Callithrix jacchus: one gene and its partners. The protein of the gene in region 4 interacts with the protein of the main gene of each other region in a pairwise test. Links are inferred from orthologs where the notes say so. Each region holds a gene or a part of one and is shown on either strand. Other genes may lie near its edges. The genes, in order: CYBRD1, VAMP4, BET1, STX4, STX6 and NAPB.

Region 1 (4,884 bases), on a different chromosome or scaffold from region 4:
CAATTAAATGCATTATATGATTAAAGTGATTTTCACATCCAGGGTCCAAACAGGAAACAGGATGAGTCATGATGGGACAAACTCTGGATCATTGATACAAATACAATAATTGAACCTAAAGAACACAAGATCGGCCAGGTACTGTGGCTCACACCTGTAATCTGAGCACTTTTGGAAGCTGAGGCAGGCAAATCACTTGAGGTCTGGAGTTTGAGACTAGCCTGGTCAACATGGTGAAACCCTGTCTCTACTAAAAATATAAAACTTAGCTGGGCATGGTGGTAGACAGCTGTAATCCCAGCTACTCGGGAGGCTGAGGCAGGAGAATCACTTGAACCTGGGAGGCAGAGGTTGCAGTGAGTTGATATCACCCCACTGCACTCCAGCCTGGGTGACAGAGGGAGACTCTGTCTCAAAACAACAACAACAAAAACAAGATTTTCATAAGAGCAACAGATGACAATTGCCAAAATATCCATTTACACATTTTTGTCCAAGAGTAAGTATGAACAGATTAAGTTCAAAGTTTAGAGTAACTTAAAAACCTTTTAGGAAAACTGTATATTGGACTCTAATATGAATGAAGAGTTTCAAAATCTATTTTAGATGCAGGTTTTCTAAAAAGAAGATTAGGCAGAAAATAAGTATATTACCATAAAAGCAGAGAATCGAACTTTGACAATAAGGTCACTGAAAAGAAAACAACTTTCATGGGTAAGTTACATAACTCTTGTCTGCCTCATTTTACTCTTACATACATGTGACATCATGCACTTAGTGGACTCACAGCATGCAGTCACTGTAAGCTGTTTTGACGTTTTCTCCTCTGTGGCAAGTCAGGCAATGAGTAATATCACTTGTGTTTCCCTTACCCTCAATTATAAGAAGATATTCCAAGAGATATTCTCAAGCACAGAGTTGAGGAAGTAGCTGAGGGACATACAGAGTCGAGTGATTTTGTTTCTTGGTATTAGAAGCAAAGGAAATTCTTGGTATTAGAAGGAAAGTTTCTTGGTAGTAGAAGCTGCTCTTTAGAGCTGGGTGGAAGAGGAGACTGGTTCTACTCTTTTTTTTTTTTTTTTTTGTGGAGTCTCACTCTGTTGTCCAAGCTGGAGTGCAGTGGCATGGTCTCGGTTCTCTGCAACCTCTGCCTCTTGCCACCTGGGTTCAAGCAATTCTCCAGAATCAGCCTCCCGAGTAGCTGAGATTACAGGTGTCTGCCAGGCTTTCTGTATTTTTAGTAGAGATGGGGTTTCACCATTTTGCCCAGGCTGGTCTCGAACTCCTGACCTCATGATCTGCCCTCCTCGGCCTCCCAAAGTGTTTGGATTACAGGCGCGAGCCACCGCGCCCGGCTGAGGGTTCTACTTTTTCAGCAAACAAGGTGTAGACAGCTCTGGGCCAAACAAGGGCTCCACCATGAAGGAAAGAGTGCTTCTGGTGACTGTTACTTTGGAACTTGAGTAGGTTTTTCTCTTTTAAGCGTAGTGGCAAAATAGCTGAGAATTACGCAACAAAATGACTTATGTGGTCAGTGGTGCTCACACCCTGATGCCGATCTCATACCAGGGAAGCCTTGGACTACCGAGGATTAGTAACACCTTCCACTACATTCCAGAGTGGGAGAATGCTGGCCACACTTGTGAAAGCTGCAGTACAAGTTGAAAACAACCAGTAAAAAAGACAAGATCACTTTTCTTTAGGAATGAGGTCAGCACTCTTTTGCACACTCATTTGTGGGGAGTTAAATATTTGGTGAAGAAAAGGCAGCCTACCCGGAGGCAAAGCTAGAGATTCAGCCAGTGGACATCTCTTTCCAAACCCTTGCTACCCTTCTCGATTATTTTCTGCAACATAACCCCAGTCCACCCCTTGCTGCCTTTAACTACTTTCTCAAGGCCATGCCTGTTGCAAATACACGATGTTTGCGCCACAAGCTCGAGGTTCCTCCAGCCACAAGGCAACCCGAAGGAAGCTGTCAGGACATGGCGAGCGGCACTACACAATGACAACACACACTACCAGCGACTGCTGAGCCCCACCCCCGCGCCAGCCTCAGCAGGAAGAATGCAGGCCCGGGGCTGGCTCGACGCGTGCCAAACACGGAAACTCGGGGACATCCCGAGCAGAGGCATCCCTCGGTACCAGGAGGCCACGGGCCCTCTCCAGGCATCTCCCACCCGAAGTGCTGGGCCAGTGCCCAACAGGAAGCCCCGCGGGGGAACTTGCGCCAGTAGGCTACCACACAAACAATTCGGGCTCAAGACCGTCCAATGACTGTCCAGGGAGGCGAAACACTCTTTGGGGTCCCGGCAACTTCCCGGGCTCGACGGAGTTTAATGCTCTAGGAGGAGAGGAACCCGGGGCGGATGCTTCACTCGCCCCTCCTTGGCCAGCCCCTTCACCCAGAGTCAAGGATGTTACAAAATTCTCACTCCAGCCATCTTTACCCCGCTGCCTTCCCCTCCTCATCTGCACCCTGGAAGCAAGTTCAGCAAAAGGCTGAGGCCAAAGCGTTTCCGCGGCCCGGATTACGCAGGCTTGGTCCACGGGGGCAACTTTCGGGGGCGAGTGAGCTGCCAGCAGCAGAGCGCTCCGGCTCAAGTTTCTGGGTCTCGGAGGCGTCTCCAATTTGTCCCAGCCACTCACCGCGAAGAGTTAATCAACTGGGGCGGGACACGCTCCGCCGCCCCCAGCAGCGCGTCTCTACCGTGCACCCCAGACCCCGAACTCGTAGCGATCTGCCCGAACTGCAGCACATTCCGGCCTCCAGAGTCCGCCCGCCTCCCTCCAGCCGCCCTCCCGCCCTGCCGACTGGGCTCCCGGAGCGCTCCCCTCCAGGCCTCGCCATCCTCCCTCACTTCCTCAGCTACGAGGGGCTTCACGGAGGACCCTCAGCCTCCGCCGCTCTCCCCCCACCCCCGGAGGTGCCAGTACCGATGCCCTGGATGAAAACGAAGCCGGTGACCAGGAGCACCGGGTGCCAGTTAAACTCGAGTGCGGTCCCGTCCCAGCCGAGCCCCTCTCGGTAGTGGAGGACCCAGACTAGGGTGAAGATCACCGACAGGAATCCGACGAGCAGCGCCGACACCAGCAGCGCCAAGAAGAGCCAGTAACCCTCCATGGCCATCAGCGCCCCATACTCCGAACCGCCGGGGCCACAGGAACTTCGCGAGGCGGCGGCAGCCTCTGGGTAGTGGCCGGGCGGCGGACCCGGGGCGTCAATTTCTTGGGGCAGTCTCCGCCTGCGGGGAGGGACTTTCAGGGCTGCTGGCCCGGAATGTAGGGCCCCTTGGGGGTGGGCAGCTGGCCTCGGCTCAGAAACGGGCCCCACCCCCGGGATCACGCCGCCGCTGAGTGCGCTCACTGCGTGGTGGCCTCGCCCTCGCCCTCGCCCAGCATCCAACCTCGCAGAGGGCTTCGGTAACAGACCTAGTTAGTTGCTCGAAGAGAGGACTCCGAGGATTTTATACCCACCACTTTCTTTTCACCCTTCCCGTTTCTCGTCCTTATTTGTGGGGAGGCTGAGTCTGTCAGTGGTGCGCCCTCTAAGTTAAGAGAAAAGAGGGATCAGTTGGATAGTTATTTGTGTGCTTTTCACTGATGAACCCTCCTTAGCCTCAGTGCTAGAGAATTTGCTGTCTCTAATATCAAAGGGTGTTAAGGAGGAACCTATAGGGTGGTGTAAATAAAAATAAAATCCTAAGCCCCTCACTGACTGAATGGACTCCCATGGCCAAGCAGATCCCAGAAAAACCTTAAAGCTGAGTTTCTAGCCACAACTGGAAGGGAAGTCAGGAAGTCTATCCCCTCCCTTTTGGAATTTAGACTAAACAGCTGACTAGCATTAATGTTTAAAATAGAAACCGTAAGTCTGACAGAACAGAGTCTTTGTAGCAATAAGGCATTCAATTATAAACAGGACCTAAGTCATATATTCCTACGCTTAAGGAATAAACTTTGCTCTCACTGACACAAGCTTTTTCTTTTTCTCTAGCAGCTAAACAAGCACTGGCTTGAGATAAACAATATTAAAACAATTACAGCTCAGCTCACAGACGCTGACCAGCTGAAGCCCTGTTCCACCAGCCGAACCCCTGTTCCACCAGCCAGAACTACAACTTTCACTGGACAAGAGACTGATTTCAGAAACTTTTTCCTGATAAGACCACCAGAACCACGGACTGTTCTGGGCAGTTTACAGGGATTGTGTGCTTGTGTGCATTCACGTCCTGAAAAGACCTTTTGAAGTATAGGGCCTATTTGTAATACATTTAAATGTTAAGTCTCCACCCCAAAGAGACCATGTTACATACACGTTTGTTCAAGATGCATGTGTCAGGACCACCGCCATTAATATTCATTGCTCCTCCTTTAACCTGTTAAATATGAATGTTTGACCAAACTGTCAGCATAAAGTTCCTATCCCAACCCCTCTGCCTTCTAAGTGCCTTTCTCTGGTCTTAGGCCAGAGGCTGTGTTTATCAGCCTACAGAGTGGTCATCTTATAGGCTATAACCTTATATAAGAAATAAAGTCTCCTCCTTTTTCAAATTTGTAATTTTTTTAAGTTAGCAGTAAAGGCTGGGCACGGTGGCTTACACCTGTAATCTTAACCCTTTGAGAGACTGAGGCAGGCAGATCACTTGAGCCCAGGAGTTTGATGAGACCAGCCTGGGCAACATGGCGAAACCCTGTCTCTACTAAAAAAACACATGCACCTGTAGCCCCAGCTACTTGGGGGACTGAGAAAGGAAGATTACTTGAGCCCAGGAGATCGAGGCTATAGTGAGCTGAGATTGCATAACTGCACTCCAGCTTGGGTGACAAAATGAGACCCTGTCTCAAAAAAACAAAAACAAAAAACAAAACAAAACAAAAAAC
Region 2 (4,999 bases), on a different chromosome or scaffold from region 4:
GTTTCCTCATGTGTAAAATAGTGATTTTCAGGCTTCTGCACAGAGTTGGGATGGTCAAATCAGATAATACATGCAAAAATATTCTGCAAACTATAATGTCCCATTGATGCTCCATTAAAAGGGGTAAGTTCGGTAATATTGTGATTTATAAAATGTATTTATTTGGTCTTAATCCCCATTTCCTGACATATCCTCGGAATCCCTGCAGTGATGTGTCCTGTGTATGCTAATAAGACGACTGGTAGCTTAGCCCCTAGATATATTCAAGATGGGAGGCTGGTCACAGAAAAACCTAGGCATGATTAGAAGACTGGGACTTTTCAGTCCCACCTGCTAGCCTCCTGGGAAGGGAGGCAGCCTCAAGGTTGAACTGATTTCCAATGGCCAATGATGTAATCGATCATGTCTACTAATGAAGACTCCATAAAACCCAAAAAGGACAGGGTTCAGAGGGCTTCCTGATAACTGAACAAGTAGAGGGTTCCTGGATGGTGGCACACCTGGAGAGGGCATGGAAGCTCTGTACCCCCTGCCCTATGCACCTCTTCAATCTGGCTGTTGATCTCTATTTTTTTGTAATATCCTTTATAATAAACCAGTAAATAAAGTGTTTCTCTGAATTCTGTGAGCCACTCTAGCAAATAAATTGAAGACAAGGAATTTGGGGAACTCTGATTTATAGCCAGTTACTGGAAGCACAGGTAAAAACACCTGGAACTTGTGATGGGCACTCGAGGTGCAGAGGAATGTTGCAAGATTAAGCCCTCAACCTGCAGAATCTGATGCTATCTCTAGGTATAAAGTACCAATTGAATTAGAGGACACCCAGCTGGAGAACCTGATGCAGAATTGCCTACTTGCTCATGAGGAGAAATCTTTTTGGGGTCAGAGGAGTATTCTCTGTTGAGAGAGACTAGGAGAAATTCAGTTTTTCTTTCATCAAAACAACTGGATTAAACAAAGCTAGTTTTCTTTACTACAGAATGACTCAAATCCTCTTACATGCTAAATGCATTGTGACTTTCTAGGAAAATGCTTGCATATGCAACATATTAAAATTTTTTTTAAGAAAAAGTTGTTCTATGCAAATAATGAATTTTCAGTATTTTGGACTAGATGGTAGATGAATACCCAGCAATTAAGGATAGCTCAGAAATACTGAATGTTTTACTATATGCTAGGCACTGTGCTCAGTGATACACATGCATTTTCTTTTAGTCTTTATGATGCTTCTTTGAAGTAGGCACTAAGAAACTAGTAGAAAACTAAAGTTTAGTAACGATAATGTTAGTCACTACACTCATTGAAACGGCAGAGATACAGGCCTAAATCAATCAATGGCAATCCATTATCAGTTTTAATTATTTGTTCAATTAGTTGCCCATCAGGTTTACAGAATTCTGTTCTAGAGAGACTCATTTTCCGGTAACAACCCAATAGTCCTGTTTCCTTGCCCACAAGAAGCAGCATTTAGACCTTTAAATTACGTAAAATTAGACATCAGAAAGAATAACCCCAAAGTCTGGTTTCCTAAACCAAATAAAAGTAATATTTTAAGTTAGCTACTTGTCAAAACAAATGGACACAAACACTCTTCTTTGATAAGAAATGCTTCCAAATCAGAAATTATTCACTTGTAACAAAAAACAAACTCTTGCTGCCTAACAGCTCTTGAGTTCTTGGTTCCACAGTATTTGTCACATACATCTGGCCCTTTTATTCCTCACACTTTGATTTCAGAATAATTCATTTATGCAGAAATGTAACAGAATGCATGGAAAAAACAGATGACAAAGCAAATTACTGAAGAACTTGTGCTTTTAACTATATCTGTATTTAGATTTTAACCCCATGCATAGAGGCTGCCTCAACACCCCAAAGCAAACAACAGGCAGACTTACATAATGCGTTTATGAGACATATAGTAAAACTACAATCTTAAGGATGGGCAAACCTCATATTCAGGTCTCTCAATCCCAAGAAACCATGTCCAACAGATAGAAAACCCATCCGCAAAGCAGTAGACAGATTAATTAGCTACCTTGATGAAATCTGATGTTATTTGCAACTACTGATTATTTATTAGTATCTGATGATACGGGTATCCAACAACTAGTAGAAGTAAATAATGCTCAGAAAGGAGACTAGGATAGAGTCTGCTTAAGATTTCCCCTACAAAAAACATACGTGAATTCAGGTGTTGGTGACTAGGAATACATGTAAATAAGAGAGCCATCATGTACTTCCACATTGAGGACAGACCACCACTATACAATTCACTTACACAGTCACATCACCGTATGCTTCTTATGCATCAGCATATACTTAAACGTTTATGTATGAATTTTTGTAAGCAGTACGTTATTTAGTCAATAGCTTTGAATCTGGGCAGAGGCTCTCCTTTTCCCAGCCTCCATTCCCTTTTTAACTCCTCTTCCTTGTCTGTCATCAGCGTCTTGCTCGATGCAGTTTCATAGAAATAAAGTAACTTGGATGGACACAGACCAAAGATGTTATTAGCAAAACCTGTCAAGTGTAACGATTCACCCCCACCTTCTGGTCATTACAAACACAGCAGGGTTGGCGCTCTTTCTCCCGAGCCCTTTAAATACACAATTCGAAGCAGCTCTGCTCACCCCCCAACACCCAATCTGTCGCACCAGGCCACGTCCCTCGAAGTATCTGCTCCTAACGTTGGCCCTTCCTGCCCCATGGTACTCCCTGGCATTCCTGACTGCCTCCCACTCTTAACAAACCTTCCCCATCCATGGCACTGTTCTCTCCCCATCGCCCCAGAGTACCCCTCAATTCCAATTCTTCTCCCCTCAACTACTCCCCGTCCGCACACCCCTGTCCTCGTCTTCCTTCCTCACGGTACCCCCGGCCCCAGCTTTTTCCCACTCTGGGGTCCCTTCCTAGATCCCCGAGGCCGGCTAACCAGCCCAACTCGGACGTCGAGGGGCGGCGAGGCAGGGGCGTCATCTTCATTTCCTCCCTCCTCACAGCAGCCCCTCCGGCTGGGAACAGGCCAGCGCCAGTACCTGAGGCTCCCGGGGAACTCCCGGCAGCTCTCCCGGGCGGGCGGTGCTGGACGGGCGGGGGAAGGAGTGGGAAGCTGAGGTAAAAAGCTGGGAGTGGGGGGACGGTGGGTGCGGATCCGGCGTCGGCCGCAGCTCCGCAGCAGCGCCTCCGCTCACCGAGCCGATCGGCGCTCGGCGGCCTGGCGCCAGGCGGAGGGGGCGGGTCCAGGGCGCGGAGATAGTCGAGGAAGTCGATTCCGCCGGGCGCTCTTCACCTGGAAGAGCCCTGACCCTCAAGGATTTTAGATGCAGCTCCTCCCTGTGCTTTAGGGGATGAGTGACCACTGGTTCTCCAGGTTCCGGTCGGGATCCGGCGTGCGTGGAGGGCGTTTATGGGAGGGATGGGAAACTCAGAACTGCTCGGGTCGGGGTGCTGGCTGGGGTGATAAGGCGTTTACAAAGAAGGTAGTGCTTTGTGCCAGATCCGTCCCTCGGGCTGACTACGTTGGGTGGCAAGAGGAGGGTGGCTTGCGGCTCGAGGACCTGCTTCTGTTTCGTCTGGGGCCTTTTCTGAAGAAAGAAGTTCTGTTTGATCCCCTGTTTGCAGAATTAGAGCTGGACTTGGAAAGAGATTTTAATGGTTCCTAGGTCAGCCTCCTTTCTTTAGGTAGGAGAAATATCTGGTTCAGAGAGGAGATTGACTTAAAGTTACACAGCTAGTTTAGATAGATAAGGGACGGCGGCTCCGTGTTCTTTTCCCGGTATCCGTTAGTTGTAACCTGAAAGCCTTCAGGTTTCAGGGAAATCGCCCTTGCCTGGCCATTCCGCTGCTCTGCCCATGCTTCCCTCACTCCTTCCTCCTCCGCCCAGTTTGGTATCATATTTAGATCTCCAAGCCCACAGATGCTGGCTACCAAAAACAATTCCTAATTTTGTTTTTCCGTTCTCTTATTTATTATCCATTCCTCCCACGCCCCAGCTGGAGTATTTTACTCATTCAATCATATATCCACTATACATCTTTTAACATTAATACAGTATTTATGGGTCCTTTGTTGATATAGTATTTTAACTGTCTGAAATACCGTGCCAGGCTCTCTCCAAAGACAAAAATAAGGGCGTGTTCAGAAACAAAAGTAGACCAGAAAACAGCAGAAGATCTGAGGACACTAAAGGAAGAAATAGACACCTTCATAAAAAAGTTGCTCTTCGTTTGATGTGTAATTTTATGCAAACATGCACTAACGAATTTGAAAGATGCCATGACTAGGGCAATGATACTCAATGCTAAGTGATTCACTTGGAGTTGAATCACCTGGAAAGCTTTTAAAACCACTGTGGGTGGGGGGGCGGTGGGGAACTACTGGAAAACTTTTTAAATCACCTGGAAAGCTTTTTAAACTACTCAGGTGCCCACGTGCTACCTAGATTCTGATTTAAATGGTCTAAGACTTAGAAACAGCTGTCGGGTTTTCAGTTGAAGGTTCTAAAAAACTTGATGTTAAACTCAGGTGTCTGTGTTTATTGCTCCAGAGCCCGGCTGACTTGGACTGAAACGGCCCACCTAGAATAGAAGCCTCTCAAGGTTTGCATCTCTGTCTGGGCATGACAGTGGGACTACTCCTAGTGACCCAGACATTATTTTTTCTTCTACAGATTTTTTTTTTGAGACAAGTTCTCACTTTTTCCCCTAGGCTGGAGTGCAGTGACATGATCATAGCTCACCACAGCTCTGAACTCCTGGGCTAACGTGATCTTGTCTGTGCCTCCCAAGTAGCTGGGATTACAGCCATGAGCAGCTGTGCCCAGCACTTACAGTTGATTTTATATCTGCATATTTGCATGTTATAGAATACTTTCTGGCTTTGGTGTCTTAGCCAATTAGAGCTTTAGCTAGTTATAGCCTCATCTCTTATACATAGACAGCTTAAGGTGTGATCAGTGAGCTCTAATAGGCGCATAGCTTTTATGCATAATCC
Region 3 (4,907 bases), on a different chromosome or scaffold from region 4:
ACTGTAAGGCACATTTGATGAACATATGATGTGAACTAATTAATGGAAAGAATCTGATTTCATTGTTATTGAACTTTGAATGTGCATATCTTTGTCAAAAATGGAATCATATGCTTCTCTGAGGGCAGACAGTATCTCATGCTCCTATATCCTCCCTGTACCTACTAAGTACTTTACATGCAGCAGATACCTAGGCAATATCCAACACCACAAAAAACACAACAAAATATTGAAGAAGTATTTTCCAAACATAAGAGAGTTGTACTATCTGAATTTTCCTGCTGACACACTATCTATGAAATGCTCCACATGTGTTATTATAAAAGAACTCAAGGAGTGTGCATATTTTTCCCCTCAGTCAATTAAAATCACCATTTAAAACTGCATTCTCCCTCTATTAATCAATAATACTCTGTGCAAACTCTAGTTTAATATGGGCCAAGATACTTAAAGAAAGAATAATGTCTTCTTATTTTGTGTGGCTGAGGTTCTGAGTATATAACATAACATTTACCCAATAAGTACTGACTGGTTGAATTCAATCATTTGACAACGTCACCAAGAAATTCATTCTAAATTAATAGCTATTTTTCCTTTCCTTTGTTTAGTTGCTTTTGCCTATCTTAATTTTAGAGTGCTTCCATGCTGTTCTATTTATTCAAAGTGAAATTCTTGTTTATTGTACAAAAATATGTTAATGCACATTTCTCCTATTAAAGAGTTGATGTTCTCTCAAATTATGAGCCACCCCAAATACAATGGACAAAAAAACAAAAACAAATAAAATGCTAGAATTGCTATTCTGAACAGAGCCACTTCTCTTCTGGCGGTATACTGCTATGAAAGGTGTAAAAAAGCTAGCGGGTACTGAAGATCATACACAGCCTTTGTTAGTTTAGAAAAATGATTCTTCTTTTGGATAGGTTCTATCAGTAAGCTAACAGAACCATTTAGAGACACATATGAATGTGACAGCTTCTGCCTATGAATATCTATCAGATTCACTACAATCCCAAATTTAAAATTTCAGATCAATATACATTGATACTTAAAAACATGAAAAGAAGTGCAGGCGCAGTGGCTCATGTCTGTAAACCCAGCACTTTGGGAGGCCAATGTGGGTGGATCACCTGAGGTCAGGAGTTCGAGACCAGCCTGACCAACATGGCGAAACCCCGTCTACTAAAAAATACAAAAATTAATCAGGTGTGGTCGTGCACACCTGTAATCCCAAGTACTTGAGAGGCTGAGGCAGGAGAATTGCTTGAACCTGGGAGGTGGAGACTGCAGTGAGCTGCGATTGCAACACTGCACTCCAGCCTGGGCAACAGAGGGAGACTCTGTCTCAAAAAGAAGAAAGAAAAGAAAAAAAAGATAGAAAAGAAGGAAGGGAGGGAGGGAGGAAGAGAGGGAGGGAGGGAGGGAGGGAGGGAAAAGAAAAGAAAAAAATGTGTAAAAAAAGCCTTTGTCACTTCACATCAATATAAATTATAGCAATAGCAGTTACCTAAGTAATCACCTCTCCTCTCAATCACAGGAGAGCGCTTTAAAAAAAAAAAGGAGTATGGGGTAGTGGGCTCTAAATTAGTGAGATTCTAATTTAACTGGCTGAGCTGAGGTCCAGGTAACAATAAGTTTAAAACTTCCCGGGGCTGAGAACCATTTCTCAAGTCATTTTCCTGCAATTTAACATGGCATACTACAACAGAAAAATACTCCAAAGGGCCTAGAGGCCTACTGATGAAATCCAAACTCTTTGGCCATGAAATCCACTCTTCAGCCTCACATGCAAAGATCTCCACAGTGTGATCCTTCATCCCCTACTTCAACCAAACTGGCTTAGTCATAATCCCTTACTTTTTTGAGTTCCCATTTGGAACTCACTTCCCCCACTCTCCATTATTCAAGGTCTACTTCAAATTCCTAAGTCTCCACAAGATACACAAGGATCTTCTCCACAAAGTATACAGTGATCTATATCTGAAGCCTCTGAGACCATCACTTATATGCAGAACTTATCTGGTATTTGGATATATAGCAACTACTTTGTACTATAAGTTATCTTTGCACATATTCCTACTCCACACCTAGACTGGAAGCTTTGGGGAGCACAAAGAGGGCAGCAAACAACTGTAAACCTAGAGCTTACTCAGGCACACAATAAATCCTTTTTTATCATTAATGATGATGAACAAGAAAAACATTTAGGTATATAAAACTAAACTTGCTGAAAATTATTTTTTTTTCTCTTCAATGTACCTGGCCCTACATTCTTTCTATGATCCAAGTAGTCATAAAAACTTCATTAAAAAAAACTTTCTCATACTACAATTTATTAATCGATAACAAGTCTATAGTTATTGGCAACTTTCATTGACTTTAAATATCTGACACTTTTTGGAATTTTTTTTTTTTAAATCTTATAATGACTGAGATAGATAACATTATCTTTTTGCAAATGTTTCATTTATTTTCTGAAGTATACAGCACTCTAATGTAGCAGTCTTATTAGAAAAAAAAATACTGTCCTAAGAGAAAGCTTCAGAACCAGAAAACGCTGCTCTAATAGCTGTATGTTACTATAGAGGACCATTAAAATTCCTTGTGCCTAACTTATTCTTGCTGGTGAGCCAGCTTCCTAAACCCCAAGGTCAAGATCAAATGTTAAGATACCAAACCTTACTACATTCTACTGCCTTAATCATGGCACAAGGTTCAGATAAGAAATCGCCTTTCACCCAGATGTTACAGTTCCAGGACCTTTAACAGTAATGACACGTACATTTACCTTTGTAACTCACTGTTACCAGATTAACGACCATTATCAGTGTGCTTTGCGTGCAACTACCCACTCTTCAAATTCCGCTTCTGAAGAAACAAAGATCCAGGGCCAGTAGAGAAACAGAAACCGAAGTCGGGCTTTGTAAAACACACCAGTGTCCATAACCAAGCTCAGTCAATAACACTAAAACACTCGACCACTGAGATGTCACCTGTACACACCCACCCCAGTCCAATGCTTTCTCTAGCCTACCATCCAAACTTGAATCTGACTCAAACTTAAGGAAACTCCTAGGATCTGGGACAAATGGTGTGTTTCCACTCGACAAGGCCCAAAAGATACCCTCTAAAGATCCTGCTTTTTGGACCAAATGCCAAGAACAAAAGATAGCTCCGATTTGCTCCCGCGCCCCCGCGCTCCCGCGCCCAGCATGGCCGGTTCTAGGGCCCCGAACTTCGAACCTCGGCCCTCTTCTTACCCAGGCCTGCGCGCCTCATCCTGCCAGAGGAGAGAGGAAAAAGGCGGGCGCGGGGGGTTAGGTGGGTAGGAAAGAGCTAGGGGTGACCCGAACCGCGTCTTCAGTACCAGGGCCCCGCGGAACACCAACTTCTTCCAGCAAAGCGCCACGACAGCTGTAGATTCTAAACACCGAGCCGACTGATGGCGTCACTAGGGCGCTCATTGGAGCCCTGGGAAGAAGCCTGAATGGCATTCTGGGAAATGTAGTTCACTGACGCAGAACGTGTCGCAGGTGGCGTGGTGTGAACCCGGTTCCAGGAGCGGACGGGGCTCCGGAAAAGGGGGCGGCTTCGGCTGCGGCTCTAACTCTGGGTTTCTTATCCAACATCCCCGCTGCTTGTCTCGCGGCCCTCCGGGTCGCTGCTTTCAGTTTATTGACCACCAAGTTTAACTTAACAGATCTCCTCCTCCGGGCCCACAAGAGGTTGATTGGGATAACTTTCCTGATTGAGCCTTGTACTCTCTCTTACCTCCAGAGGTAGTGCAGGGAAAGTTAGAGAAGACTTTGTCCACGTTTCTCAGTTTACAAACAAGTAATCCAACATCCACAGAAGTAACAGATTTTGTACCTCATGTATCCAGTAAAGGAGAGAAAACCAGGTTCCTTGGAGTAAGACTCCTGCTCAGATGGGAGCAGCCCAGGAAAAGCGTGGGGTCTCATAGGAGACACTGAATAGTTCCGTTACTGTTACTGCATCTGTTGTATTTGAGGAACCAAGACTTTTAGTTGTTATAGGGAACAAAGGACCCCTAAATTCCCTCCCACTTAACTTTTTTTTTTTTTTAACTTACGCAAATGTTATTGAAATACTGCTTACACAAGGCATTGAGCCAGTTTGGGGGTTTAAAAGCTTGTTGGCGAGTGAAGATGTTGCTGGTATCAGGGTTAATCCTAGAATTTCATTTTGTCTCACCGGATTATTTATCATGAGAATACGGTAATCATGGTTTTCGGAGAAAGAAAAATCTGATACACAGTAGGTAATCAAAATCCACTGGGTATCTCCAGTTTTGTTGTTGCTGCCATATGTATGGTAGTGGAATCGTCTCCACTCCACAAATACGTGATCTCTGATCATTTAGTATTTTCTCATAGTTTCCCAAGACATTATTAACCTTGACCATAATAGTGGCACAAGTCTCTGCATTAAGTTGTTTTTGTATAAAACACATGAAAACTACTTTTAATGAGAGTTATTAACCTGAGAAGGAAGACTTATTCAATAAGGTTTCCATAGGAAAAAAAATCTTCGTTAAAATTAAAACGCCATTTTCTAAAAGCAATGGAATTAAATGAGGATAAAATCAGGGACAATTACAAATAAAAGATGGAGATTCAGTAATAGATGATAGCTAGATATCCCATTACAACTTTTAATCTATGTCCTTTGTTTGATTAAAAAATGCATGTTTTATAATGAAACATGTTTAAAAATTGTCCTAATGAAGGCTTGCTGATAGAAAATGTAGAAATTGTCATTTTTGAAAATCAGTTAATATTTACCAAAACTAATCATTTGAATTACCTAAAATATATTCTTCCTTTACATGGTAGGAAGACATAAGAATGAAATGTAGTTAAAAGGAAAAAATATATGTAATGTAC
Region 4 (4,888 bases):
TCCTGGGCTCAAGTAATCCTCTGACCTGAGTCTCCCCAAGTGCTGGGATTATAGGCATGAGCTACAGCACCGGCCGGCGCCCTCTATGATCTCTCCTTTCCCCTTGACCTCTTTGATCTTACTTCCTCCTCATGTTCCCTCCCTCCCTCCCCACTGGTCTCCTTACCCCTCCCTAGACAAAGCAGACTCCCAGCTCAGGCCTTTGTCTTTGCTTCTCCTTCTGCCTAGAATGCTCATTCTCCACAAACACCTTTAAATCTTTTGTTCAAATGTTACCTTCTGAATGAAGTTCTTCCACCTGATTTAAATTGCATCTGTACTCTTCTCCAGCATACTCAGTCCCTCTTCCTCTGCTCTTTTTTCCATAATGCTTATTATGTCTAAATAATTCACTTATGTATTATGGTGATTGTTTCTCTACACCAGAATGGAAGTTCCATGATGAAAGGGATCATTGGTTCACTGCTGTATCCTAAACAGTTCCAAAAGGGTCTGGCACTTGCTGAATGCCAACCTTGCTGCTTATACCACAACTGTGCTCATAAGCCTAGAGATGAACATGCCGCCCAGGCAAAACAGGTGCAACAAGCCCACATGGGCCCTTGACCTCTCATGCCAATCAGCACCACAGGTTACCCCAGAAGCACTGGCTATAGGTCATCTGCTCTGCCTTGCCCCTTCTCCTGAGGCCTTAAATATGTTCGTTCCTTGGAGTTTCGTTTCCAGAGATACATCTACTCTCCTGGATCCGGCTGCACCCTTCCAAGATGCCCAAGTTGCTCCATCTTCAATCTGGGGTCCTCACTTCCAACCCTGGGCCTAACTTCCAACCCTGACCTCCTAGAATCCTAAAGTACTTTTCACTGGGGACCCAGAGAGGGCCAGTCACATCACCCCAAAGGCCAGGTACAGTGGCTCACACCTGTAATCGTAGCATTTTGGGAAGCCACAGCAGGTAGGTCACTTGAGGTCAGGAGTTCAAGACAAGCCTGGCCAACATGGTGAAACGTCATTTCTACCAAAAATATAAAAAAATTAGCCAGGTGTGGTAGTGCACACCTGCAATCCCAGCTACTTGGGAGGCTAAGGCAGGAGAACAGCTTGAATCCAGATGGTAGACGTTGCAGTGAGCCGAGATCCTGCCACTGTACTCCAGCCTGGGTGACAGAGCAAGACTCCATCTCAAAAAAATAATAATTAAAAATATAAGATATCACACCAGGGAAGTTCCTCTTCAGTGTCGCCCCAGGGAAGTTCCTCTTCCTGCCTTCTTGAATTCTGCCTGTGGGACTAAGGACTCCCTGTCACATAGGCAGGAAAGCTGCCAGTCATTTATGACTTCTCTCTTTCCCTGGGCAGCACCATTATCACCAAGTCCTACGTGAGTAATGTCTTTGTCCTTATTGAACCTGAACTCCTCATCTTGACTCCTAGAAAATATGTGTCCCAGCCAGGCATGGTGGCTCACACCTATAATTCCAGCACTTTAGAGGCTGAGACAGGAGTGTCCCCTGAGGTCAGGAGTTCAAGACCAGCCTGGTCAACATGGTGAAACCCCATCTCTACTAAAAACACAAAAATTAGCCAGGCATGGTGATGTCTGCCTGTAATCCCAGCTATTCAGGAGGCTGAGGCAAAAAAAGTAAAAGAAACATGTGTCCCTACAGCCAAACCTAGGTCTTGTCTGGGGTCATAGCAACTTCTTATTGAATGAAAGAAAATAAAGCAGGGTATTATAATCGGACTAAGCATCAGGAGACCTGGTTTCCTGACTTTGAGCAAGTTCTTTCTCTGAGTTCAGTTTCCCCATTTGGAAAATCATTCCGCTGGACTCCACCATCTCTGCAGGCCCTTCCTTCATACATCTGTCATCCAGTACTTCATGAAACATTTGCTGAAATGTCCTCATTTCTGAGAAAAAAAAACCCACCTGGGTTTTTCTTATTCTTGTGTTGACGGAGTTATAGTTCTCATCAGCTTCCTCCTTCTGGGGCTCTATGGCTGTGGGAAGACACATGGAGTACTGGGGGTACTTGTTTCCATGGATTTTTAGGGAAATATAATTTATCATAAAATGACTAAGGCTGAGCCTCCAAGAGGAGAAAGTACGTTTATTTTTCTTTGCATTACATCACTGAGTTCCCATAGGTATGCAGAGGCCACCTAACAAAACCCCATCCTCTTGCCCAAAGAATGCCCAGTGGGCTGCAATAACTGTGTAAGTAAATGGTTACATTGTAAATAAAAGAACCTGAGAGGCCGGCTTGTCCTGTGGAGAGTACAATGGCCTGGAGGCCAGGAGACAGAGATGCTAGACCCAGGCCTGCTGTGTGACCTGGTTATATCATCGGCTTCTCTGGGCCACACACTCCCCAGATACACCAACAACAGGGCAGGATCAAAGGGAAGGATCTGTCTGAGGTCCCAGGAGCTCACCCTTCAGCTGCAGGCGGATCTCCCTCCCCAGCTGTTTGATCTCATCGCGCAGGTTCTGCAAGTCCTGCTTCATGCCTGAATAAGAGAAGACCACGACTCCGAACAGCAGCTCCCACCTCAACAAACCACCCTGGCAATCACCTATGTGGGACTACAACCCCCACAATCCCTAAGGTGGTGCATGCGCCCTGCAGTCGGAGTTTCACTCACTCTCCTCGGGAAGGGGCGTGGCCAAGATGGTGACCTGCTGTTTCTCCAACTCCTGGACTTTATTCCCCAGTTTGACAATAGTCTGCCGAATTGCCCGGACCTGGGGAGGGTGACCGAGAGGGCTGAAAGAGATATGGGGTACTCCAGACCACGCTGGTCCTCGGGTCTTCCTACCCCCTCGCGAATCCAGGCAGAGACCCCAGCCCCTTACCTTCTGGAAGAACTCCTCGTCCGGGCTCCCCAGCCGTGCCATGCCCGGGTGCACCACCAGCGCGACCCGCTCCTTGTCCTCTTCGTCCGAGCTGTCATCCCCCTGCGAGGCCCGGAGTCATTGGTACCACTGTTTCGCTGCGGCTCTCACCCCGCACGACCCACAGGCTTCCGGGACTTTCCTTCCTGGCCATCAGCCATCCCTCCCCGCCCTGAAGATCAGGAGTCCTGCGTTCCAGTTCGTCCGCCCCTCAACATCTCCACTGCCCCCATGTCTCACCTGCCTCAGCTCGTGGGTCCTGTCCCGCATGGCGGCCTGAGCTCTCCCTCCTCGGCGCCTGAGCCAGGAGGCCCTCAAGTTTGGAATTCCCGTACCCCACTCACACTCTGACACTCCCCTCCCTCCCGGTGCGGACCTCAACACCCCCACAAGCCGCCAGACGCTCTGTCCCTTGCACCACCCACAGTCAATGGGAAGGAGCCGACCCCGGGGACCACTAAGGTTCCACAGGTTGGAATTCCCTTTTCTTCCCCTCTCTTGCTCTCTCAGCCTCAGCCCCGCCCCTCCGTGATAAATTCGGGGCATGCGCACAAGGTCGCGTCTCTTCCTCGCCGGAGGGGGAAGGCGGAGTCGGAAGTTGTTGCGCCCCGAGCGGAAACGGAGCTGCCTGGACGCGAGAACCCGCCCCCCTCACCGGAACCGTTGCAACTTCCAACGGAAATCTGGTTGCCAAAAGGCGTAGGAGTACGTCATTTGTACGTAAGCCGAGACACCCGCATCTCATATCACCCCATGATGCCCCCACTGCATCACGTGACCAGCCCGTTCCCAAACTCGCGGACCGCAGAACGTGACGCTGTGACTGTCACGTGTCCCGGCTCTGTCACCGCGGTCTCTGGGACGCCGTTCTCATCACGAAGTCCCCGGCACCCCAGCGACCGAACGACGCCCACACAGCCCCCGCGAGGTGGGGAGGGGCGCGCCGACCACCCCCAGAGGCCTTTTGAGGCAGTGGGTGGGTGTACCCTTGATGACTTCGCCTTTATTGCTTTCGGGTCCAGGAACGTGGGCAGACCACTTAGCATTTGGGGCTGTCAGCATCATGGGACCTCGAAAATCGGGAAATAATATCCGAGCCGTCAGCGTCAGAAAATTGCAGGGTTGTGTGAGCAGGGAATCTGGGGGTGGGAGGTGACCTCACCCAAGGCAGAAATCTCCCGCATCCTCCTGGCGCAGCCTCTGGTAGGTGGGCGGCCGGCGCCCTCCTTGAACATGGCAGCCCGGCTGCACTCACCACCTCTGAGCAGTCAGACCATGTCAGGGCAGCTCAGGCTAAGAAAAGTGTCTGTATTGTTGAGCACGCTGCCTCCCTACCACTCACACCCCCCAGCCCCTACCTTACATCTGAGATCAGGTCATGACTTCGTTCTTAACTGAATCTGGGGAGTTCCTAGCTCACTACCAAGCACATAATGGGCCCTCTGTAAATAACTGTGCACAAAATTTTAGCCTTTCATGTATCTCAGGATAAAGCCCCCAGTTTCCTGGTCTTCTTTGGGTTTCAGACTTTCTGACTGTAACACTTCCCTAACCCTGGCTATCTAGATATTCACTCGTTTTTTATTTTTAAAAATTTTCATGAGGTGAGGTCTCATTATGTTGCCCAAGCTGGTCTCGAACTCTCGGGCTCAAGCAATCCTGCCTCAGCCTCCCAAAGTGCTGGGATTACAGGCAACATTAATTCGCTTAATGGATATTTATTGGGCACATACTATGGACCAAACACTGTTCTAGACTTGGAGACATATCAGGGACTAATAGACAAAAATTCCTGCACTCGTCAAACTTACATTCTCTAGGAGGAGTCCCCAAGGTCACTCAGCAAGTCTCAGCATAGCCAGGAATGAATAATGGACTCCTGGAACCCAGGGCTCTCCAGGAAGCTTCTGTGAAGGTACAAGTAGGGGAAGGAATGGACCCTTTCTGCTATGACCTGGTCAGGAAGCCTAGATTCCTGGGACTGAGTTGCTA
Region 5 (4,837 bases), on a different chromosome or scaffold from region 4:
TGCACCCAGCTACATGCATTTTTATTTAACTATCATAACAATCCATGAACTAGCTATTATTATTTATGTTTTGTAGCTGAGGAACTGCATGATAGAGCCAAGGTTTGTGTTTCTCCAAGGACTGTGCCATCTCCAGAGACTGGTGACTTTGGGCAAGTCACCTAACCTCCCAGGGTCTCAGATTTCTCATTCATAAAATGAGGATGATAGCAGTAGTTATAGCATTGTAAGAGCAACTGAGATAACATTTAACACCCTGCCTGACACACACACAGTAAATGCCCAATGATTTTCAGCAGTCAAAGTCCACATCCCCATCCACAAACTCCACAGCATATCTAGCCTGAGTTGGTTAATTGTTCTGGCCAAAATGTTTTCTGGAATTGTTCTTGAACCACAGTGAGATGAAGTTGTCATACCTGGCCCCTTCTTTATTCCTTGAAGGTGCTCTCTCCTGGGAAACGCCATATGCTGTATGAAAAATTACTTTACATGGTTATTTGCAGAATATACAGCAACAGAAGGTACACCCCATCTGGTGGAAAGTGCAAAGAATCTGCAGTTCTGCCCTGTCCAAGCTGTGTGACTACAGGAAGTCTTGAAGCCTCTCTGAACTTATTTTCTCATCTACAAAATGGGGAAAATGGATGGGTGTGGTAATCCCACCACTTTGGGAAGCAGAGTCAGGAGGATCATGTGAGTTTGGGAGTTTGAGGCCAGCCCAGGCAATATACTTAGGGCCACATCTCTACAAAAAATTTAAAAATTGGCCAGGTGTGGTGGTGCTCACTTGTAGTCCCAGCTACTCAGGAGGCTGAGGTTAGAGGATCACTTTAGCTCAGGAGGTCGAGGCTGCAGTGAGCTGTGATTGTGCCACTGCAATCCAGCCTGGGTGATAGAAAGAGAGCCTGCCCCCCAAAGGATACTGAAATGATGCATATACAACCTTTAGCACACTGTCCAACACAAAGTTAAGACTTAAAGGATCTGTGTAACATCATAATTAGATACCATGCTTCACTGTAAGTCTAGGGCCAGATAGAGATATAAATTGCATACTGTCAAAATCAGGTATTAAAAGTAGAGGAAAGGTAAGAGGATTTTGCAAATCAGGTGCAACTGCAGCTTATCCTGAAAAGCCGACTGCCTGCCTCTGAGGGAAGAAGCCGCTCCTCACCCTCAAGTGTGAGGGGAGGGCGGTAGAAGGCCTCCCACCTCCACGGCCTCAGGGCTCCGCCTCCAGGGCCGTGTGACGCATGCCCAGGCCCCGCCCACGAGGGGGGCGGAGCAGGCCCTCGTCACGTGACTGGGTGCGGAAGTCGTGCTTCAGGCGATGTTCGTGATTGGCTGCGGCCGAGGTTCCCGGGGGTTGGGTCAGGCCCTCCGACGCGCCGGGAGGAGCCGGGACGCGAGGCTGCCGCTGGGGCCGGCTCTAGAGTCCTGTATTCGGCCGGTGGTGGTGAGCGAGTGCTGGACCCGCGGCGGTCCCGTGCACCTGGCCTGCGCGACTGCCCGCGGCTCGGCGTTCTCCAGGCTAAGACGCGGGCAGCTGCGGGAACAGGCGCGGTGGGCGGAAGGAGGCCGGGAGGCACGGGTGCACTGTGCGCCGAGGAGGTGGAGGCGGCCGGGGCCGGGACGCCATGTCCATGGAGGACCCCTTCTTTGTGGTGAAAGGGTGAGTGTCGGCCGAGGGTTCCACCGGAGAAAAAGGTGGCGGTGCTGCCTGCCCGCACCTCCCCGGTCTTCTTGCAATAGGGGGAGGGGAGACAAGTTGAAGCTGGGGAGGGGACAGTGGAGACGGCTTAGCCTCGAGGGCCGTGACCAAAGAGTCCAGAGACGTCCCCTCCATCCCTACCTGGACCGTGAAGCCGCTGTCCCCAGCCAAGCTCCTGGTGGTGGTGGGGCCTTTTTGGCCTGTGCGCTGGGGTTCAACTTATTTGGGGAGGGGGGTGCAGGGGCTCAGCAGCTCTGCAGGTGGTGAGAGAGACCGGAGGGTCCTGGCTCACAGTGGCTCTCCAGTCGAGCATGAGACCTTGCTTGGAAGGAGCGAAAACAGCATCTGGGCAGGAAAAGGGAAATGGCCCTCCTGAGCTTTGTAGTTCGCCTTGACGGGAGTGAGCTCCATTGTCCATTGAGTTTGGAGCGCTGGCCCGCAGACTGGCTAAACCACAACAAGCCCAGAGGCGTCTGAGCACGTTTGCAGGGAGGGAGGCGGGGGAGCAGGGCACCGGAAGACAATTCAATGGGGGAGTTTTTACTGAGTAAAGTGAGGAGAGGAAAGCAGTCGTTCATACTCAGTGATGATTTGGAAGGAAAACAAAATGAAACGAGCCAAACCAAACTTTCCTCAACTTTCTATTAGCAACCGGAATTTTCTCACAGTGCTAAAGGAAATGAGTGTTGCTTGTTAACTCCTTGATTTCATCCAGGCTGTTTGACAGGTTTCTCTCATTTCTTCTGCCTTTTAGAATAGAACTGCCTTCTGTTCCCTTGTAAGCTGCCCTAACTCCGTCTTTGATTGCTCGATTGTTTCTTTGGAGATAGAAACTTCAATTGCACTTTGGAGCCATTAAACAAATGCGAGAAGATCAATTCTGATGTGACTTTGTTTCTTATTAGAAACGTGTCAATTTTCTGTTTTAAATGTCAAACGTGAAAAATCTGAAAACTGCAAAGTTCCCAGATCAGTACTGAGCACCATAGAATGTTCCTTGCTTCCAACTAGTTGCTGCTGTCTTCCTGTTTCTGCAGTAGTACAAGCTGGCTATTGTTACATTCGAGTGTTCTAGAAAATTTAAATGGTACTTTAGGTGAAATACTTTATTGATGCAGTAAAATACACTTATACTACTTTTTTTTTTTTTGGTGACATTCTTGAAGAGTGTGTGTGTGTGTGTATATATATGTACATATTTTTTTCCACTTATACTACATTTCCCTGAAAAGATTTTCCTTCACCTAATTTAGATGGGAAAATGCTGAGTTGTAGATTTACTGGTAATACGTGGCTCCCTACCTGGAAAATGTGGTATTTATTAGAAGGATTGAGTTAGGGGTTAATTTTTAAAATAGATGTGTGTTTTTCCTTTGAATGAAAGTTGTTGCTGTTTTGAGATGGAGTTTTGCTCAGGCTGGAGTGCAATGGCGCGATCTCGGCTCACTACAACCTCCGCCTCCCGAGTTCAAGTGATTCTCCTGCCTCAGCCTCCCTCACCGCCCCCCTCCAGCCCCAGTAGTAGGCATGCACCACCATGCCCGGCTAATTTTGTATTTTTAGTAGAGACTAATTTTGTGTTTTTGGTAGAGACGGGGTTTCTCCGTGTTGGTCAGGTTGGTCTAAAACTCCTGTCCTCAGGTGATCCACCCGCCTCGGCCTCCCAAAGTGCTGCGATTACTGATAGGCGTGAGCCACTGCGCCCGGCCTTGAATGAAAGTTCTTAATGCTTAGGTTGGCAAAGGTTATCTCTGGCAATGGAGATCAGAGATGATCAGAAATTTGTTTTGACTTTTCGTGGAATTTGTCAAAAACCAAAATTGTTCTGCCATCTTGGCATTTTTTTTCTTGATAATATCCAATACAGTCTACTAATGCTTGCCGCTGATTAAATATCACTACTTTATAGGAACATTGGCTTGGAGTTTGGATTGATTTTTACATCATTTTAGCTCCTGTCTTTAAGGTTCCTGAAGGAAAAGAGATTCTCAGGACCTTCTGCTGTGGAAAGGTAAAGTCACCCGTGAAGGTGTCTCCACATTTTTGGGGAGTCATGCACCTGCATTTATTAAAAGTATCAAAAATGCATTGCACAGTATGGAAAAATTAAAGGTGCCTAAATTATGGCCCATAACCTAGGAGCTTCTAGTCTAATCTGAGAAATTATCCCAAAATTAAATAGAAATAACAGATGGCAAATGATTAAGTGTTGAAGTGAATGCTACAGATGATAAGTGCCCCAGGAGTTCAGTGAAAGGCAATTCCTTGAGAATGGTTAGGATTAGAAAAGCTTTTGGAGGCGGTAGTATATCTTGAATTAGGTTTTGTAGATAATCAGGCCTGTCCCTCTTATCTGGATGCTTATCAAAGAATCTTCTAGTTGGTCTTCCTGCTTCTGATCTTATTTCCTCTTTTAGCTGTCCTTGGAACTATTGGATCAATGCTGTCCAATAGAAGTATAATGCCAGTCACTTACATCATTTTACATTTTCTAGTAGCCATAGTAAAGTAAAAAGGAACAGATAAAGTTAATTTTAACATAATCGCTAATACATTCAAAATAGTCAACATGTGATTAATGTAAAGATTATTGATGAAATAGTTTACTTTTGGTCTAAGGCTTCTAGATCTAATGCATATTTTACACTTAGTGCACATTTGAATTTGGACATTAAATTTTCATCAGAAATAATTGATCTGTATTTAAAGTTCATTAAACTTACAGTTGAAAAATGAATTCACATACTTTTTTTTTTTTGAGACAGTTTTGTTCTGTTGCCCAAACTGGAGTGTAGTGGTGCAATCTCTGCAACCTCTGCCTCCCAGGTTAAAGCGATTCTTATGTCTCAGCCTCCTGAGTAGCTGGAACTGCAGATGTGTGCCACCTCGCCTGACTAATTTTTGTATTTTTAGTAGAGAGAGGGTTTTGCCTTGATAGCCAGCCTGATCTTGAACTCCTGGCCTCAAGTGATCTGCTGCCTCAGCCTCCCAAAGTTCTGGAATTACAGGTGTGAGTCACCGTGTCAGGACAATTCACATACTCTTAATTGTTCCAAACATACATAAAGGTTTTTTGGTAACTGAATTGCGTATCAGTTATCAAGTTTACATTAATTAACTTCT
Region 6 (4,365 bases), on a different chromosome or scaffold from region 4:
CTCTCTGATCATTTTTTCCTAAGAGATTCTAAAAGAGAGTGAAAAAGTACCAACTGGGCTCCATTCCAGATCTTACCACCAGAGACAGCCAGATCTCATTTAAGCCTCTCAGAACTTGGAAGGAAGGAGGGACCCACGTTAGATTCCAGGGCCCATTGCCAACCCCAGTGGATGCTCTGACTACCAGCCACCTCATGCACGTCACCACCAGAACTATGGCCACCGGATGTGGATCCTCTATCTGGCCTTGGCTGGCCTTTCCCACCAGAACTATGGTCAGCAAGTCCTCGTGGCCACCAGATGTGGATCCTCTATCTGGCCTTGGCTGGCCTTTCCCACTTCATTTCCTGCTACTTTCTCTTTCTTCCTAGACTGACCTACTCACCATTCCTCAAACACCCTGCACTCAACCCTTGGCCTGGAAACACTCACTCTACTTCAGCGCAATAAAATCCTACCAATTCTAGTTGAGAGCCACCAAAAGTGAAAATGTCATTCCAACACTGCTTGCTACTGCCTGACATAACACAGGAAGTTTCGTCACCTGTCATCAGTGAAGATCCGTGTTATCAAAGTGTCTGCTGGGTTAAGTCTTGCAACAAACACATTTCCAATATAAACCATTTAACTATAAAATATGCAAAAGACAGTCACAGGACAAGTCTATGTCTAAAGTACAATATCAGCATATAAAATAATAGAATCAAGTTCATGAATTAAGATAGCACATATATATTATATAAACCAATTAAACATGACAGAGTTCCAACAAGCCAAAATATTCCATCAGCTAAGAGAACAATCAAGTCCCCTGAGAAACAAGTTGGGGTTCTTGCCCACTTGGGCATAAAGTCCACTCCTGTACCACATTCACCCCACCTAATCCATTATGTGCAATAAATGTGAAAATTACGTACATTCATTCTTCAGCCTGACTTAATCTATCCAGGCCTGACCAAGATTTCTATAGCCACAGCAGAGAACACATTGCCTCAATGTAGTATATAAACATGAAAATGATGAGCAGGCTGTGCCAACTGAAACACTCTAACGCAAACATAAAGGGATTTCACTCCAACTACAAGTGAAAACTATCTCCAGAAAAACAGAAAATTCCATTTCTAATAGATCTTGCAGGGTGTGTGTGTGTGTGTGGGTGAGTGCAAATCAAGTTCACTCTGACACTCATCCATACATGAAGCAAGTCCTTCCAGAGAGCTCCTTTCCTCACAGTGTAATGCCTACAGACCCTGGCCATTCTATATTTTTGCCATGCACGTGTTAGCGTACAGAACACAAAAAGCAAAGAAACTAGTCACTAGCACCATCGAAATAATCACAGGATAACAAAAATACAAATGATTTCCAATAAAGTCATAAACTCATTCCTAGTCACTGCCCTAAACTAAACACACATTTAAAGAACATATCCAGATGCCAAAGCACAGAGAAAATGCAAAGCATCTACGAGAACAACTGGGCTGAGTCCTCAAGTCCAACAAAAAGGACATAAAAACACGTGGCAACATTAAACACGGGCTCCACAAACACCAGTGAAATATGAGGAATGAGATTCTCAAGTACTTCGCAGAAAACGCTGGGGGTCTGATAAGCGGGAAACCTATCGTTACCACAAGATGAACAGGAGCCTCCCCTTCATTCACTTCACAGCAATATAGACTCCACAAGTTTAAACAATACACAGGTCGTCTGGCTCATATGCAACAAAATTAAGCCATTAAATGGGCATCCCATAAAGATCACTTGACCCTAAGACAAAACTAAAGAGGAGTTAGCTGCATGCCACGAAGACGGAAACATTTCATTTGAGATCTCCATCTCCTTCTCCATCCCCTTGGATGGACTTTTTGATGCGAAGCAACATGGTGGTCAGCCACTGATCCAAGCGAGATATTGAGTCAAATTCCTTCACCTGGTATAAAAAAGAGGAGCAGGAATCACCCCATGTGATACATTAAAAACAGAAAATAATAGTACCCAAGCTGTCTATACATTTACAACCATCATCCACTTTCCTCAGCATTTGAAATTAATCATTTCAGTTTATAACTTTCTTCACTAAAAACTTGTTTATTTTTTCATTATCCTGTTACTATTTTGATGGTACTAGTGACAGGTTTCTGGGCTTGACATTTCTCTGTTTTCAAACACGTGTATGACAAAAATTCATTATCGGTCATGATTAATGTGACAAAAGAAACAACTTTGTATAAAAATTTTAAAGGAGTATGAAAAATTATACTTCACTGAACATGGGAAAACATTAAGTGCAGAGTTACAATGTCTGGAAGCGGAATTCCTTTCACACATTTCGATACAGTACCACAGATTAAAATTACAATAGGATGAAAATGACAGGGTAGGCAAAAGTTAGGAAAACATTCCTTTCCACTCTTACTCCTGAGCTGGGATGAACATGTTATAGGAGGCTACTGGGAAATTTGCCTGAGGCTGGGTATAGTGGCTCATGCCTGTAGTCCTTGCCCCATGGGAGGCCAAGGCAGGTGAAGAGCTTAAGCCTGGGAGTTAAGAGACCAGCCTGGGCAAAATGGTGAAAACTTGTCTCTACAAAAAATACGAAAACAAAAAAAATTGCTGGGTGTGGTAGTGTGCACCTGTATTCCCAGCTATTGAGGAGTCTGAGGTGGGAGGCTCTCACCTGAGCCAAGGAGATTGAGGCTACAGTGAGCTGTGATCACCCCACTGCACTAAAGCCTGAGTGACAGAGTGAGGCTGTTTCAAAACATATTAAAAAATTATTTTTGCTTGATTCTAAATATGAGATGGCAAAAGATGGAAAAACAAATATAAAGAAAAAAACTTTCATTTTAAAAAAGATTTTTATTTATTTTTTATTTATATATTTATTTCTGAGATGGAGTTTTGCTCTTGTCCAGGCTGGAGTGCAATGGAGCGATCTTGGCTCACTGCGACCTCCACCTCCTGGGTTCAAGCGATTCTCTGCCTCAGCTTCCCAAGTAGATGGGATGACAGGCACACTCCACCACACCTGGCTAATTTTTGTATTTTTAGTACACACGAGGTTTCGCCATGTTGGCCAGACTGGTCTCAAACTCCAGACCTCATCATGATGCACCTGCCTCGGCCTCCCAAAGTGCTGGAATTACAGGCATGAGTCACTGCGCCTGGCCACCTTCCATTTATTTTATGCCATAAATAGAGCAAATTCTCACTAGTTTTTATATTTTAAATTATATTTAACTAATTTTTTTTTGAAACACAGTTTCACTCTATCACAGGCTGGAATGCAGTGACTACAACCTCTGCCTCCCAGGTTCAAGCGATTCTCCTGTCTCAGTCTCTCGAGTAGCTGGGATTACAGGCGCACGCCACCACACCCAACTAATTTTTGTATTTTTAGTACAGACAGGTTTCATCATGTTGGCCAGGATGGTCTCGATCTCTTGACCTCTTCATCCACCCACCGTGGCCTTCCAAAGTGCTGAGATTACAAGTGTGAAACACTGCGTTCAGCCTTCGTCCAGTAACAAATTTTACTTTATACTTACTTATAGGTCAGATTATTTTCAAAAAAAAAAATTGAAACGGCAAATTATAAGAATATATATGGAATATTTGCTCCTGAACTCGTTTCACAGCTAAATTAGTTTTAAGTATAAGTCAGGAAACAGCACTGAATACAACTAGAATCTCAGCATGGCTGACGGACCTGTTTGATTTGTGCAAATAGATAAAAGGTGACCTTTGGAAAATACAACTTAGGTATGCCGGAGTCATATTCAAATAAATGTTTAGAATTTACATAATGCAAAGAAGTTTCTCTAGCTTAAATCCTCAAATAATGTCCCATGTCCCAAAAGCATAACTTACGGCTTCCGTGTAAGCTTCACTGTTCTGTTCTTCATGAGCTTCTAGGAGTTTCTGGTAGCATAAAAATATTTTTAAAAAAACACTTTTGTAAGATGAAGTCCCATTTCTAAATAAACACTTTAAGTGTAGCACTGATGTCGCCAATACTGCACGCTGTTGAGGAAATACTCAAATACAAGACCCAAGTTAGGGATCTAGCTCCTGTACCAGCATTTCTGAGTTGCCTATTTCAGAACACAGCTATATATTCCTGACCTTAGTTGCATCTGAATACCTATAATGCCAAAGCAGGAAGGTACCAGGGCCCTTCAGTTGGCAGACTTCACAGATTCAACTTCACCTCATACCCAGTCCCACTTAGGGGCTGCCACCTGACAGAGTAAAGGCATTTTTCTTCAAAGTCCTAATATTACTTACTTTCAATAATTTACATTCTCTTGAATCAGTAAATGCTGGAAACATTTCCTCATATTTCTCAAGAGCAAGCTGAAA

Evidence for each region.
Region 1: the proteins of STX4 (region 4) and CYBRD1 interact in binary tests that used the Homo sapiens proteins (3 or more experiments, as listed by UniProt). The two-hybrid records come from large-scale screens. The link is inferred for Callithrix jacchus from reciprocal best matches to the Homo sapiens genes STX4 and CYBRD1.
Region 2: the proteins of STX4 (region 4) and VAMP4 interact in binary tests that used the Homo sapiens proteins (3 or more experiments, as listed by UniProt). The two-hybrid records come from large-scale screens. The link is inferred for Callithrix jacchus from reciprocal best matches to the Homo sapiens genes STX4 and VAMP4.
Region 3: the proteins of STX4 (region 4) and BET1 interact in binary tests that used the Homo sapiens proteins (3 or more experiments, as listed by UniProt). The two-hybrid records come from large-scale screens. The link is inferred for Callithrix jacchus from reciprocal best matches to the Homo sapiens genes STX4 and BET1.
Region 5: the proteins of STX4 (region 4) and STX6 interact in binary tests that used the Homo sapiens proteins (3 or more experiments, as listed by UniProt). The two-hybrid records come from large-scale screens. The link is inferred for Callithrix jacchus from reciprocal best matches to the Homo sapiens genes STX4 and STX6.
Region 6: the proteins of STX4 (region 4) and NAPB interact in binary tests that used the Homo sapiens proteins (3 or more experiments, as listed by UniProt). The two-hybrid records come from large-scale screens. The link is inferred for Callithrix jacchus from reciprocal best matches to the Homo sapiens genes STX4 and NAPB.

The regions. Positions count from the first base shown.
Region 1 is NC_133507.1:58,008,492-58,013,375, forward strand, and holds the start of CYBRD1 (plasma membrane ascorbate-dependent reductase CYBRD1), read right to left. Parts: upstream 3,203-4,884; 5' UTR 3,131-3,202; coding exon 2,938-3,130; exon of another isoform or gene 2,716-2,937; intron 1-2,715. UniProt on the Homo sapiens protein: Plasma membrane reductase that uses cytoplasmic ascorbate as an electron donor to reduce extracellular Fe(3+) into Fe(2+).
Region 2 is NC_133519.1:30,967,861-30,972,859, reverse strand, and holds the start of VAMP4 (vesicle-associated membrane protein 4), read right to left. Parts: upstream 3,223-4,999; 5' UTR 3,042-3,222; intron 1-3,041. UniProt on the Homo sapiens protein: Involved in the pathway that functions to remove an inhibitor (probably synaptotagmin-4) of calcium-triggered exocytosis during the maturation of secretory granules.
Region 3 is NC_133512.1:55,613,328-55,618,234, reverse strand, and holds the start of BET1 (BET1 homolog), read right to left. Parts: upstream 3,474-4,907; 5' UTR 3,465-3,473; coding exon 3,368-3,464; exon of another isoform or gene 3,280-3,367; coding exon of another isoform or gene 3,261-3,279; intron 1-3,260. UniProt on the Homo sapiens protein: Required for vesicular transport from the ER to the Golgi complex. Functions as a SNARE involved in the docking process of ER-derived vesicles with the cis-Golgi membrane.
Region 4 is NC_133513.1:30,560,305-30,565,192, reverse strand, and holds the start of STX4 (syntaxin-4), read right to left. Parts: upstream 3,436-4,888; 5' UTR 3,167-3,435; coding exon 3,137-3,166; intron 2,960-3,136; coding exon 2,858-2,959; intron 2,769-2,857; coding exon of another isoform or gene 2,747-2,768; coding exon 2,647-2,746; intron 2,512-2,646; coding exon 2,437-2,511; intron 2,002-2,436; coding exon 1,931-2,001; intron 1-1,930. UniProt on the Homo sapiens protein: Plasma membrane t-SNARE that mediates docking of transport vesicles. Necessary for the translocation of SLC2A4 from intracellular vesicles to the plasma membrane.
Region 5 is NC_133519.1:39,308,693-39,313,529, reverse strand, and holds the start of STX6 (syntaxin-6), read left to right. Parts: upstream 1-1,388; 5' UTR 1,389-1,640; coding exon 1,641-1,675; intron 1,676-4,837. UniProt on the Homo sapiens protein: SNARE promoting movement of transport vesicles to target membranes. Targets endosomes to the trans-Golgi network, and may therefore function in retrograde trafficking.
Region 6 is NC_133506.1:30,399,890-30,404,254, forward strand, and holds part of NAPB (beta-soluble NSF attachment protein), read right to left. Parts: intron 4,360-4,365; coding exon 4,291-4,359; intron 3,925-4,290; coding exon 3,874-3,924; intron 1,934-3,873; coding exon 1,823-1,933; 3' UTR 1-1,822. UniProt on the Homo sapiens protein: Required for vesicular transport between the endoplasmic reticulum and the Golgi apparatus.